Linked DNA regions of Schizosaccharomyces pombe. The gene in region 3 interacts genetically with the main gene of each other region. Each region holds a gene or a part of one and is shown on either strand. Other genes may lie near its edges.

Region 1 (4,046 bases), on a different chromosome or scaffold from region 3:
AATTAATTAATTCAGTATTTAGCTAATTTCTATAAAACAGTAATTGCTTCTGTACCTAGAGCATTTAAACGACCCTATGGCGGTCCTTTCGTTCCTGGTTGTCTTTTGTGTGGTGGATTCAATGCTATAGGAGGGTATTTACAAATATACTTATTTCTTTTGTACTGTTCTATTTTACTAATTACTTTTTCAGTCTTGCAATTGCTAGTGGTGGTAAGTGATTTTGGTGACTAGTATTCCAATTCATTATATGTTGCCTTGGTAAAATACATAGGAATTTAAGGATAGACGTTTGATTTCAAATATTACTCCTCACGATCATTAAGCAGCTTTTATGAATGTGTTCAATTTCGTTTTAAAAAGTTTCAAGTCTTTGCAACTATTAGGATTGTTTTTCATTTGCTTTTCGCAATTTATTGACCTTACGAATATAGACTTAACCAACGGTTCAGGAATTTGTACAGCTTGGTCAATTGCCTATCTAATGATTAATGCTACCAAATCAATCAAATCTTTTCGACTATACCCAATTGCTCTAACTACATTCGCAACTGCCAACGCAGTCGGTTACGGGAAAACCTTCATGAATGAATATTAAAAAGTGATATATTATACGATATATACAACGTTGAACCTCAAAACCATTATTCCAAAAAAGAAGACGAAGAAAACGTGGTGGAAACACCACCGTATTTTCTTCAAATGTACAGTTACTTACTCCTATGAAATTCTGTAAAAATTCCTCGGATAGTAAATAGTACATATATATAAGCAAACAAGTTTATGAAAGAATTAAAAATTATAAAAGAAAATGTTATGTAGGAGGTAAATCCTAATTATGTACCATCTGGTAGCTATTAAGCATTTAAGCTATAACTAGGAAAAAGAACAAAATAGCGAAAGACATATATATATGGAACAGCCAAGTGATAAACACAAATAGAAAAAGTTGAAAAACAGGAATACTCTATAAGGCATTCAATTACGAACCGGGAGAACGACAAGTTTCATTCACAGTAGCAGCTTGCACTGTCGGAGACTCACTGGACAAAACGACATCAGCTAATTCTGAAGATGAATCACTAATATACCGTTTCAAATCATTGAGAGAAGACTTTAGAGATGGATCTGATGAAAAGTTCTGAATATATTCTTCGTCAACTTCACGTTCTTTGGGATGTGAAAAGGATCTTTATAGGTTAACAATTGATACGAAAACAATGAAATAAATGAAAACTTACATATATTCCTGTAAACGATTTCCGACTGGCCAATTCATCAATGCTCTTAGACAACCAATTACAATACCTGTGCGATGCTTAATGAATCGTTAGCAAAGCAATAATTAAGAAAATAATCTAAAGAAAAGAATAACCTACCTTTCCACGACTGCAATGGAGCAAAACAGGCCAATTTTCTTTATTTAAAAGAAGTTGTAAAGTTTTTCGTACAAGATCGTCAACGTCTAGCAAGCGGGTTAGCTAATCAAAGTAAAGTAATTAAAAAAAAACTTGAAACAAGGAATGAAGAATAATTAAAATATCTTTTTAATTTTTAAACAAAGTGTGCAACAAGTTAAGATGGTGGAAAGCTTACCTGAAATGTCGGGATTTGAGGAAGAGGAAATGCAATCGTTTTTCCGATGTTTGCTTCCAGGCATGGCAATATGATAATAATTAATGTGATGTTTAGTGAAGTAGTGGAGATCCTCTTCGGAATACTCTTCTTGTCTTAATGATATAATGGTACGGATGTGTAAGGATTCCAGGAAATTGAAATTAGAAGCACGTGGACATGCAGAACGATAAATAATTCCAGGATAAACGACCCCAAAATTATCTGGTACAAGCGGTGAATTGGAGAATGTCGAGGCATCGTTGGAAGTGTCAACTACCTTGATACCATCTTTATGGGCATTCAACTCTAAGCAACAAACTGGTTTTGCCTGTTCTTCCGAATTCACAGAATGACAATCGTTTAAACAACTGTCATGACTCGACACCTCGGGTATAGACATAGAAATTTGGTCCCTATCCGAAGTAATTGATATCAACTTCTTTTCAAGTTGGAATGGAAAAACAATGGCCATCAATCAACTACCCTCCCAAGCACATTCGAAAAATAAAGAAACCACTTAAAATGTTTCTCTAATTATGAACGATTGATGGTGCCACAACCTCAATTTGACTACTTAAGAAACTTCTAAACGATAGCGGTACCAGGACGACAAGCGTTAAGACCTGAACAGTAAATTGGAAATAAAGTACTATACAAAAATACTGATTTGGCAAATTTTGCCAAATGTATTACTTTTCTGAGGATATTGTAGATTCTTGGTGAGGTAAGGTATTTAGCAAATTAACCGGAGCCGATGAAGATGCACAAGTATACGGAAATTTACGGCATATTTATGTAAGCTAGAGAAGAGAGGGACGGTACACAGAAGCCAGAAATCTTTCACTGAATACTCTTATAAAATGCATTTTCACCTTCTTTTATTTGCGCGAGAATCCTATTAAAAACTACTATTCCATATGTCTTTTTTCAACCAAACATCTGGCACTGTAAGTCTAATCAGTAAGTCATAGATGCTAAATAGGAAGAATTATTCAATCCATAATAAAAAAAAACACTATAAAAGCTACAATCGAGTGCAAACAAACAATTCTTTTTCAATACAAAATAAATCGATATAATTTCCGCGACTTCAGTAAAATGCACTATATGAAGCCAATGATAGGATTCTGAGGCAATCTGTTAAGGAAAAAACGGTACCTCTTTAATATTATATTTTGATATGAAAGATACTATATTAGTACATAATCGTTCATATGTGAGTGTGAAAAATTGAGTAAACAAACCAGTAAAAAAAAAGGAATTATGAAAAAAAATTGGATAGAATTAAATACTGATACAGAAACAAGTATTAGAAGTTGAATAAAAGTTGGAAGCAACCGCATTGTTAACGAGTTGAATAATTTGATGTTTCAACTCTGCAATGTTAGGATACCAGTGATGCCGAGCAGCTCATCGAATTAAAACATAATCGAAATATTCATGTAAAATACTATTAATATACAATACAAATTACATTCATGAGTGATAATACATTTGGATTCGCAAATTCTTCGCAACATTATACAAAGAGTATGAGTATTCTTCTGTCTATAATTAGCACTATAAATTATTTTAACTTATACAGCAAATGTCTACGGCCATACCTAGGCGAAAACACCAGTTCCCGTCCGATCACTGCAGTTAAGCGTCTGAGGGCCTCGTTAGTACTATGGTTGGAGACAACATGGGAATCCGGGGTGCTGTAGGCTTCCTTTCATTACTGTATTCATTTTTTTTACATTACTTACACATGTTAGTGAACACAATGAAAGCAAACGTTTCTAAAATGTTTCAACAGACACGGCATGGTATATTAAACACCGGAATGTCAATTACATATGGTTTTTAAATTTGAGTTAATTCTTCTGTAAAAAGATAGTACCTACTTCTTTTTTTTATAGAAGAATGCCTACAAACACGTTTCTCATTGACCATAATAATTTTGCTATAATTGATGCTAACTAATATTGCCTTAAAATCTCCTTATAAACTCAAAAATACAAAGTAATCTTTTTAAATTGGCTGTTTTCTCAATTATGTATAATTTGGCCAACCTCGATCGACTCAGTAATTAAAATTAAAGCCGTAGTGAAGCTTTCTCATACTCTCCAATATGAAATTAATTATTGTGTGCGCTCACCCATCATTTTATTTACTATAAACAGCACCGTGGTGAACAGTTATAGTAGTACCAAAAAACGAATCTAATAATCTAACCCCTACAAAAGAAGTCTTCTACACTTTAATATACATTGGAAAAATGTTGCTCGCGACAGTGGTAATTATTTGTAGGTCCAATAAAACACCCTTTTTCCATGTACCCCAACAAGAATAACTTTTAAAAAAAGAAAAAAAAACGGTGTAGCAGATTTTCATTGATGGAAATAGAACCACTATTTTCACATTGGTTAAATTAGTTTGATCCATTA
Region 2 (3,217 bases), 4.6 Mb from region 3:
TAAAGGACTACAAACACAAAAAGCTTTTTAAAAGGCTAAAGTCGTTATGCAATGGTTGGATTTTACCAACAAAGTTTTGTTACGGGATGTTGTATCACTAACATTCCGTTACGTCTCATTTGTGCCAATATACTGAATGCTTGCGTAAACTCTGTAATACTTGGAAACGGCTTCACTGCGCCTCACTATTTGGAAAGTTGTAACGCTGTAAATGTTTTGTTTTTACCTATAAGTAAATAGAAGATACATAATAAAATTTGGTGATGCTCTGGATTTTCAGGGATAATAGAATTTCTGTAGTTATATTTTCTACAATGACGGCTAACTTTTAAATTGTTTAATCTTGATGCCATGCAGTATAGCTCAAATGCTGAAGAATTTAGGTAATATGCATTTTATACTTTGTCTTTAAATTGTCATACTTGTCTCTTGCGACTTTTATAGCTAAATAATAATATTCCAGTGCTAACGTATGTGTTTTTTCTATAGTAATCCAAAAAAAACACGCAATTTATTGTGTCAGTAAATAAAGTAACTTGTAAAAATAAGTTTAGCTGAAATGTACAACAATCAGTCCCCCATCCAATGCGATAGCAGCCGCAGTTACAAATATTATTTATATTTAATTATTACATTTTGTTTACAGGTACATAATGTTTGTTAACACTTTTTGTACGTTTAATTAAACTAAAAGTATTTATTTTTTTAACATATACTCTAAAAAATTAATTTACTCAAGTTTGAGTTATCAAGAAAATTTAATCTACAATAATTATTTTTGAAGCACTTATTTGTTTTAATAGTATATAGTCTGGTGAAACAATTAGAATTCGTCTGTAAGTAGTAAAAATACAAAAATGTTTCTATGGTTTTCATATCATAAATACTTACACTTCACCCGTTTAACTTAAAAACTTAAGGTAATCCGTAGTACACCAAATTCTTTTCTTTTCTTTTTTTATTTTTTTTTATTTTTTAAAATGTATTTTATTTAAGAAATAATAAATAAAGTCCCTTATCCAATTCCACTAGATATAAATCGTTAGTTTAGAATTTACCAAAATACTTTTCAATAGCTGTCGTATATACATATTTATACACATTTATTACTTTCTTTTAAAAATAACTTATATCAATTATATCGTAACGTAACTGATGAGTGGAATCATTTAAAACAATTTAAGAGAGAAGTTGATATTGGCTGTTTATTTATCCGAATTTTTTTATGTTATAGTTCTACCATATTTGGCGGTTGTTTTCTTTATTTTGATTATTTTTTAAAAACAATTGAAAAAGTTTAGTTAATAATCAAGTAAATCTAATAACTATATATACAGTTTTCAAAGCACAATATCAACTGAGGCTTCGTGGTGTAGTGGTAGCATACTTCGTTTGGGTCGAAGTGGTCAGGGGTTCGATCCCCCTCGAAGCCCAAAGCCTTTAAATTTTTGTTTCAAATATAAAAAAAGTTGATTTGTGCTTGTAAAGTACAAACCGTATAAAAAAAGGAAACCCGTTTAATATTCTGTGTAATGGTTAAAGGGTTGCATAAATTACCGCTCTTTAATTACATATTAAGAATTTATCATACATTGTCCAAGCTCTTCTTGTGCTGAATTTTTATAAGTAACGCGACACTACTTCTTTCATCGTAAAAACTTTTCAAGTAATTAGGAAACTACATTTATGAACCATTTACTGTAAATACAATTATATTTTCATCTGGGAGATTAACAAATATTTTATCACTATTTGAATGCGTCCCATTCCAGTGAAGAATCGCATTGGAAAAAACAACATTGATAATGCAAAGGGACTGAAGGGGAATAAGCTTATTCGTCATTATCATAACCTGTTAAAAGAGAAATCTCGACTTATTGCGTCAAGTGCTCCGATTGAAAAAATAAAAAATGTGGAAAGTGAACTCGAAAATATAGGTATTGATGCTTACCAACGAGCTAGTCGATCCGGTCAAGCGGAAGGAAAAGGAGGGGATTCAAGTAAAATATTGATAAAATGGATTCGGACAACTCCCTGTTTTTCGTATTGCGCACGTCTTAAGGAGCCGAAAGATTTGTTGGAAATTGGCAGTGTTTCTGTTGACAACAAATGTTCAACTTGTGGACTTTTCCGAGTTTCAAGGATTGATTTGCATTCTGTTCATCCCTTGATTAAACAACAGGACTTTCTTGAAAGAACTCCTGAAGAAGGACTTTTTACTGGGATAAGTTGTTCACTTGTGCTGAATTTTGCACCTCCAGAACTCCGAGCTAAAATGTTATTACATTGTACAGGATTGTTAATGCCTCCTAATAAAGAACAGCCTCCTTGGTTATTTTTGGTTTTGCCTTCGCCTTGCATAACAAATTCTCGGTACATGGATGAAAAAACATTACACTCAATTATGATACAGTTTGGATTTATCTGTCGTCAAAAGTCTATATCGAAAAAAATAGCCTACTATTTATATTCTTACGAGTGTTTTCCTATGAAAGAAATAGACTGGAAAAAGAAGATCGTTAATGATGGGGCAACTAGGAATAATTTCTTCATTCCCTGTATACTCTAATTAAGATATTTGTCAATACAAAATTTATTTTACTAGTATCTCAAAGTTAAATTAATGAAATGAATGCTTTTTGTCGGTTATCCTCTTGCTTTTTTTTAATTGTATTGTTAATGTCAATTACTAGCCTTTACTTACGTAGCTACAAAGTACGTTTTTCAGAGTTTGTTCGTATGCGATACTTTACTAATGAGCCGAAAGCTCGATCATTGGTGTAAAAAATAGTAACAAGTCATTTTCGTTATATGTCTTTTTAAACTTATTTGCCAAGTTTACAAATCTTGTGCACCGCTCTGTGTTCTATGCATACAGAACACATCTGTATAACGTAATGGAGCGTACCCTTTTTAGGTGAAGTAGCTGGTAATCATCGAAGTCTCTCTTCTCAAAAGCAGTAAACTTTAGCTTGCAGTATATATTCGTGAACGATAGTAATTAAATATGTCCGACCTCAGGAAGTAAGTAATTTTTGTTAATATGAAAAAGCAAAGGTTAACGTTTGTCACCAATTAGAATTATCGGTCTTTCTTCGGTATGCATCGCTCAATGACTCCTACTCGAGCTAGACATCAATTCCATTTTAAACGAGTCTAACTTATATTATTAAGGTCCTGGCAGTAGGATTTATGCTGGTGATCCTGTCTTGTGCTT
Region 3 (4,376 bases):
GGCATTCTAAAAATGTGTTTTCTTGTTGTTTATCAATGTTCCTCATCTCTCTGTCCTAATCATCGTTTGTTTTCTTACGCCTGTTGAATTTACTGTTTTCCATTTCGTGTTTCCTTGCATTCCTTGGTAGGTGAATATTTTGTGCTCCGATCTCTTGTACTGTGTTTTTCCTTCATTTGACCTTTAATACATATCTTTTTTGTCTTTGTTAAAATTTATTGCTTTCGGTCCTTCTTTTGAAAGCTCAGTCTTCTTGCCTATAATTCACAATTTGAAAAAAAAAAAAAAAAAAATCTCCTAATTCATGCTTCATTGCTCATATCATTGCTATTATTAAAAACAAAATTCTCAACATGCTATTACAATGATTTAGTTGAGTAAACATTTTGAGCTGGTTCTTTTCTTATACAGGAAAAAAGGTGATAGCTAATTGGAGTTGACCATTTCCTTACGGAAGTTTTAGAACGAATATATCGTTCTGTGGCCTACAAGGATTTTAAGTCAAAAAATTCTATCATTTTTCTGGTTAAGAAGGAATGTTTATTAGTTGTTAACTCACACTTGTGATATTGTTGATTGTAGTGATTGAACCGTTTCTTTAAAAGTTTTTTGAATGATCTGAACTAATTTGATACAAATAGTTAAGTCTAGTCTTTTCTGTTTATTAATAATCCTAATTTATTAATAATGCTAATAAATAAATTAATTGTATAACGTAAACATATATTTTTATTTATATACCGCGTTTGAATAATAATACCCAGTTTTGGGACAATAATGGGATACCGTTCCTAATTACCTCCATAATTTGATTTCTTGTTTTAATATGACGATATATCGTACTAAGTCATTGCTGCCTTCTGCCTCTTAATTCTGACTTAAACTGAAAAACAAAATATTTCGTGATTTATCGTTATTAATTATTTAGCAGGATTTCTACAAAATTTGTTATAGAAATTACAACGTAAGCAAGCATTCTCGGCACTATCTTTTTACCGTAATTTGCCTCACTCCCTTATACGTACTGCATTTGTTTTGATTCCCTACCTGCTTGAATGTGCGATTCCAATGAATGACCCTCCATAGGCTCTAGGTGAAACCTTATTTTACACATATAAAACAAGGTGAATTCCATTTCAACACTTGAATTCCTAACCTAACAACTACCATCCATAAGTATTTTGGTATATTTACAAAAATTGAGTGTAATTCACTCTTATAATCGATACTTCTGATTGTCATTAGCGTCGTTGAGATCAAAACAAAACAATTTCCAGGATTTTGAAATTTGGCTTTTAAACAGCTGAATCTTTGGTTATTTTGTTGAAGTTTCTTTGATTTAATATCTTTTCACCCCCCTTTCACCTCTATTCAGTTTAATTTAATCATTTGACTCTTTCTTCTTGCATCGGTTCGTTCGTGTTCGCTTTACTACTAACTTACCTACCTACATTTGTTCTCCTTATCCTTAATTCTTTTACAGATATAACAAAACGTCTGCCAAAGTCAACACACTCGGGTTTTGTCATTTAATAGGGCAAAACGCTACTCTACTTGGGATTTTCATTATATTTACTCTCATTCATATTCTTCCGTTTCTGTGACTAAATCACCATAAAAAAACACCTTCCTTCCCCGGAAAACAAATAAGCAAACAACACTTTTTTTCGAAACACATTGTTTAAACAAAGTTTACGCCCTTTTATTATTGAAGATTTTCACCCGGTCAACCTTTTACCCTTTTCCTATTTCGCAAATTCTGTCTCTTTTTTTCGTCACAATTTTGGTCTACTTTGCTAAAATCAAGTCGCGCATACATTCATCATTCCGGCTTTTTTTTTGCAATCATCATTCCATATCTTACCGATATCTGTGATCCTTGGGTTTGTAAATCTGTTACTGAGCAGTTACATATTTGTCACAAGAACAACCACTTTTGGTTGATTCATTTTCTTATTTAAAAGTAAAAAAGAGTGTACATTCAACAAATTAAAATTATCTTTTAAGCCCAAAAAAGCGTTTTTGAGCATATTCTGATTATTTATCTGTCGCCCAGATTCTTCATTGAAAGATTTCTTTTTCTTTTCTTTTTTTTCTTGTTTTATCGCTTTTGAATTTGACTTTTACTAGTTCAACGTTTTAATATTTCCTTCCTCTTCTCTTCTTTTTGTTGATACAATGCCGTCTCTTCTGAGTTCACGCATTCGCAATGCCGAATTTGCCAAAAAAATTGTTACGGATCCTGCCAAGTTGGTTCCGTACTTTAAAAATGGGGACTATGTTGGTTGGTCTGGTTTTACTGGTGTCGGTTATCCTAAAATGATTCCAAACGCGTTAGCAAGACATGTCGAAGAGAACAATTTGCAAGGAAAATTGCGTTTTAAATTGTTCGTTGGTGCCTCGGGAGGTGCTGATACGGAATGCAAGTGGGCTGAATTGAATATGATTGAGCGCCGGTGTCCTCATCAAGTAGGAAAGCCAATTTCTAAAGGAATTAACTCTGGCAGAATTCAGTTTTTCGACAAGCATTTATCCATGTTTCCCCAAGATTTACTTTATGGCTACTATACTCGTAATCGTGAAAGTAATACAATTGACACAGCCATTATTGAGGCCACAGCCATTACCGAGGACGGCGGAATTGTTCCCGGCGCATCAGTTGGTGCGAGTCCGGAACTTATGCAACTTGCGGAAAAGATTATCATCGAGGTGAACACTGCCATTCCTTCTTTTGAAGGACTTCATGACATTGTCGAAATTCCCAACCCCCCACATCGTACTCCAATAAACATCAATCGAGTTGACGATCGTATTGGAAAGCCATACATCAAAGTGGATCCCAAAAAGGTTATTGGAATAGTGGAGGCTGATTATGGAGACATCACATGCGCTAACTCTCCGCAAGATGAGACTTCGCAGGCTATTGCAGGCCATTTAGTTGACTTTTTCCATCATGAAGTATCTGTAGGGCGTCTTCCCAAAAATCTTCATCCTTTGCAATCCGGTATTGGAAACATTGCCAACGCTATTATCGGTGGTCTTGCCCATTCTCCCTTTAAAGATCTCGAAGTGTGGACAGAAGTCTTACAAGATACTTTCTTGCCTCTCTTTGACTCTGAAAAGTTACGTTTTGCTACTGCTACCTCAACCCGTTTTTCTCCTCAGGGATTTGAAAAATTCTACTCAAACTATGATTACTACAAGGAAAGAATTTTGTTACGCCCTCAAGTAATTTCCAATCACCCTGAAATTATCCGCCGTCTTGGTTGCATCGCTATGAATACTCCTGTGGAAGCCGATATTTACGCTCATGCCAATAGTACAAATGTTTTGGGAAGCAGAATGTTGAACGGTTTAGGTGGTTCTGCTGATTTCTTGCGTAATGCGAAATTAAGTATTATGCATACACCATCGGTTCGTCCTTCGAAGAAGGATCCTACTGGTATCACTTGTATTGTTCCTATGGCTACCCATGTTGACCAAACCGAACATGATTTGGATATTTTGGTTACAGAGCAAGGATTGGCTGATTTACGAGGCTTGTCTCCTACCGAACGTGCTCGTGAGGTTATTGACAAGTGTGCTCATCCTGACTATAAGCCTCTGCTCAGAGAGTATTTCGATATTGCCGAAAACTACTGTTTAGCTAGAGGAGCTGGTCATGAACCCCATATTCTTGCCAATGCTTTCAAGATGCAGCTCAACCTTTTAGAAAAAGGAACGATGAAGATCGATCATTGGTAAATTTAGTTATCAGTTGTTATAGCCACTTTTACTCTTTCTAAGGGTTTTCCAAAACCTTGTTACGACTAAAATACAGCTTCTTCGTGCTGTTATGACTTAATGTATTTCATTTTTACATTAATTTAATTTACGAAATAAAAAAAATCCGTATACTAAAATTAGTGTTTATAAGTTAAGGAAATTAGTTTTGAGTAAGTAAATCCAACAATCATAATGCGTATGAATTTTCCAAGATACACAGAAATGAGCGCGTTTATTTTATGAGCAGTATTCCTTTGAAGATTATTAATCTTTAGTTCCCCTGCAAAATTCGTAAGTTGGCTGTTTAGTACATACCTCTATATTACGTTGAGTTGTGAGTCAGCATTTCTGCTATTAACCTAGTATCAAACCTGCTTACTCAGAGAGGAGTACCACCAAAATTTAGGAAAGGATAATCAAGTATAGAAATTATCGTACAGTTTTGTCTGGATCAATAGTTTCCATTCACCAGTATTTATTCTGCAAATTATAATCTTTGTCGCACCACAATAACCTGAAAGTAAATATGGCCTCAAAAGTCGATTCATCTCATGAGTTCCCCAGCCAAATCAAGAGATGCTTGTCCTCATCCAAATATATTCAACTAGCTA

What was found.
Region 1: mutations in ach1 (region 3) and siw14 together harm fitness more than expected from each alone (negative genetic interaction), as found in Schizosaccharomyces pombe (one large-scale study listed by BioGRID).
Region 2: mutations in ach1 (region 3) and bmt2 together harm fitness less than expected from each alone (positive genetic interaction), as found in Schizosaccharomyces pombe (one large-scale study listed by BioGRID).

Annotation. Positions count from the first base shown.
Region 1 is NC_003423.3:1,403,378-1,407,423, forward strand, and holds siw14 (inositol pyrophosphatase Siw14), read right to left. Parts: upstream 2,356-4,046; 5' UTR 2,090-2,355; coding exon 1,597-2,089; exon of another isoform or gene 1,573-1,596; intron 1,466-1,572; coding exon 1,380-1,465; intron 1,319-1,379; coding exon 1,242-1,318; exon of another isoform or gene 1,191-1,241; coding exon 983-1,190; 3' UTR 599-982; downstream 1-598. Other genes in the region: protein aim19, read left to right, coding at 41-134, 194-213, 435-598; methionine--tRNA (Met) ligase Rar1, read right to left, coding at 4,031-4,046. UniProt on the Schizosaccharomyces pombe protein: Cleaves the beta-phosphate at the 1- and 5-position of soluble inositol pyrophosphates. Has exopolyphosphatase activity in vitro but does not appear to contribute to the homeostasis of cellular polyphosphate.
Region 2 is NC_003424.3:363,794-367,010, forward strand, and holds bmt2 (rRNA (adenine) methyltransferase Bmt2), read left to right. Parts: upstream 1-1,651; 5' UTR 1,652-1,756; coding exon 1,757-2,569; 3' UTR 2,570-2,649; downstream 2,650-3,217. Other genes in the region: protein Vps55, read left to right, coding at 3,008-3,024, 3,080-3,098, 3,175-3,217.
Region 3 is NC_003424.3:4,980,702-4,985,077, reverse strand, and holds ach1 (acetyl-CoA hydrolase), read left to right. Parts: upstream 1-1,920; 5' UTR 1,921-2,178; coding exon 2,179-3,744; 3' UTR 3,745-3,863; downstream 3,864-4,376. Other genes in the region: SPOM_SPAC1952.08C (pyridoxamine 5'-phosphate oxidase), read left to right, coding at 4,292-4,376. UniProt on the Schizosaccharomyces pombe protein: Presumably involved in regulating the intracellular acetyl-CoA pool for fatty acid and cholesterol synthesis and fatty acid oxidation.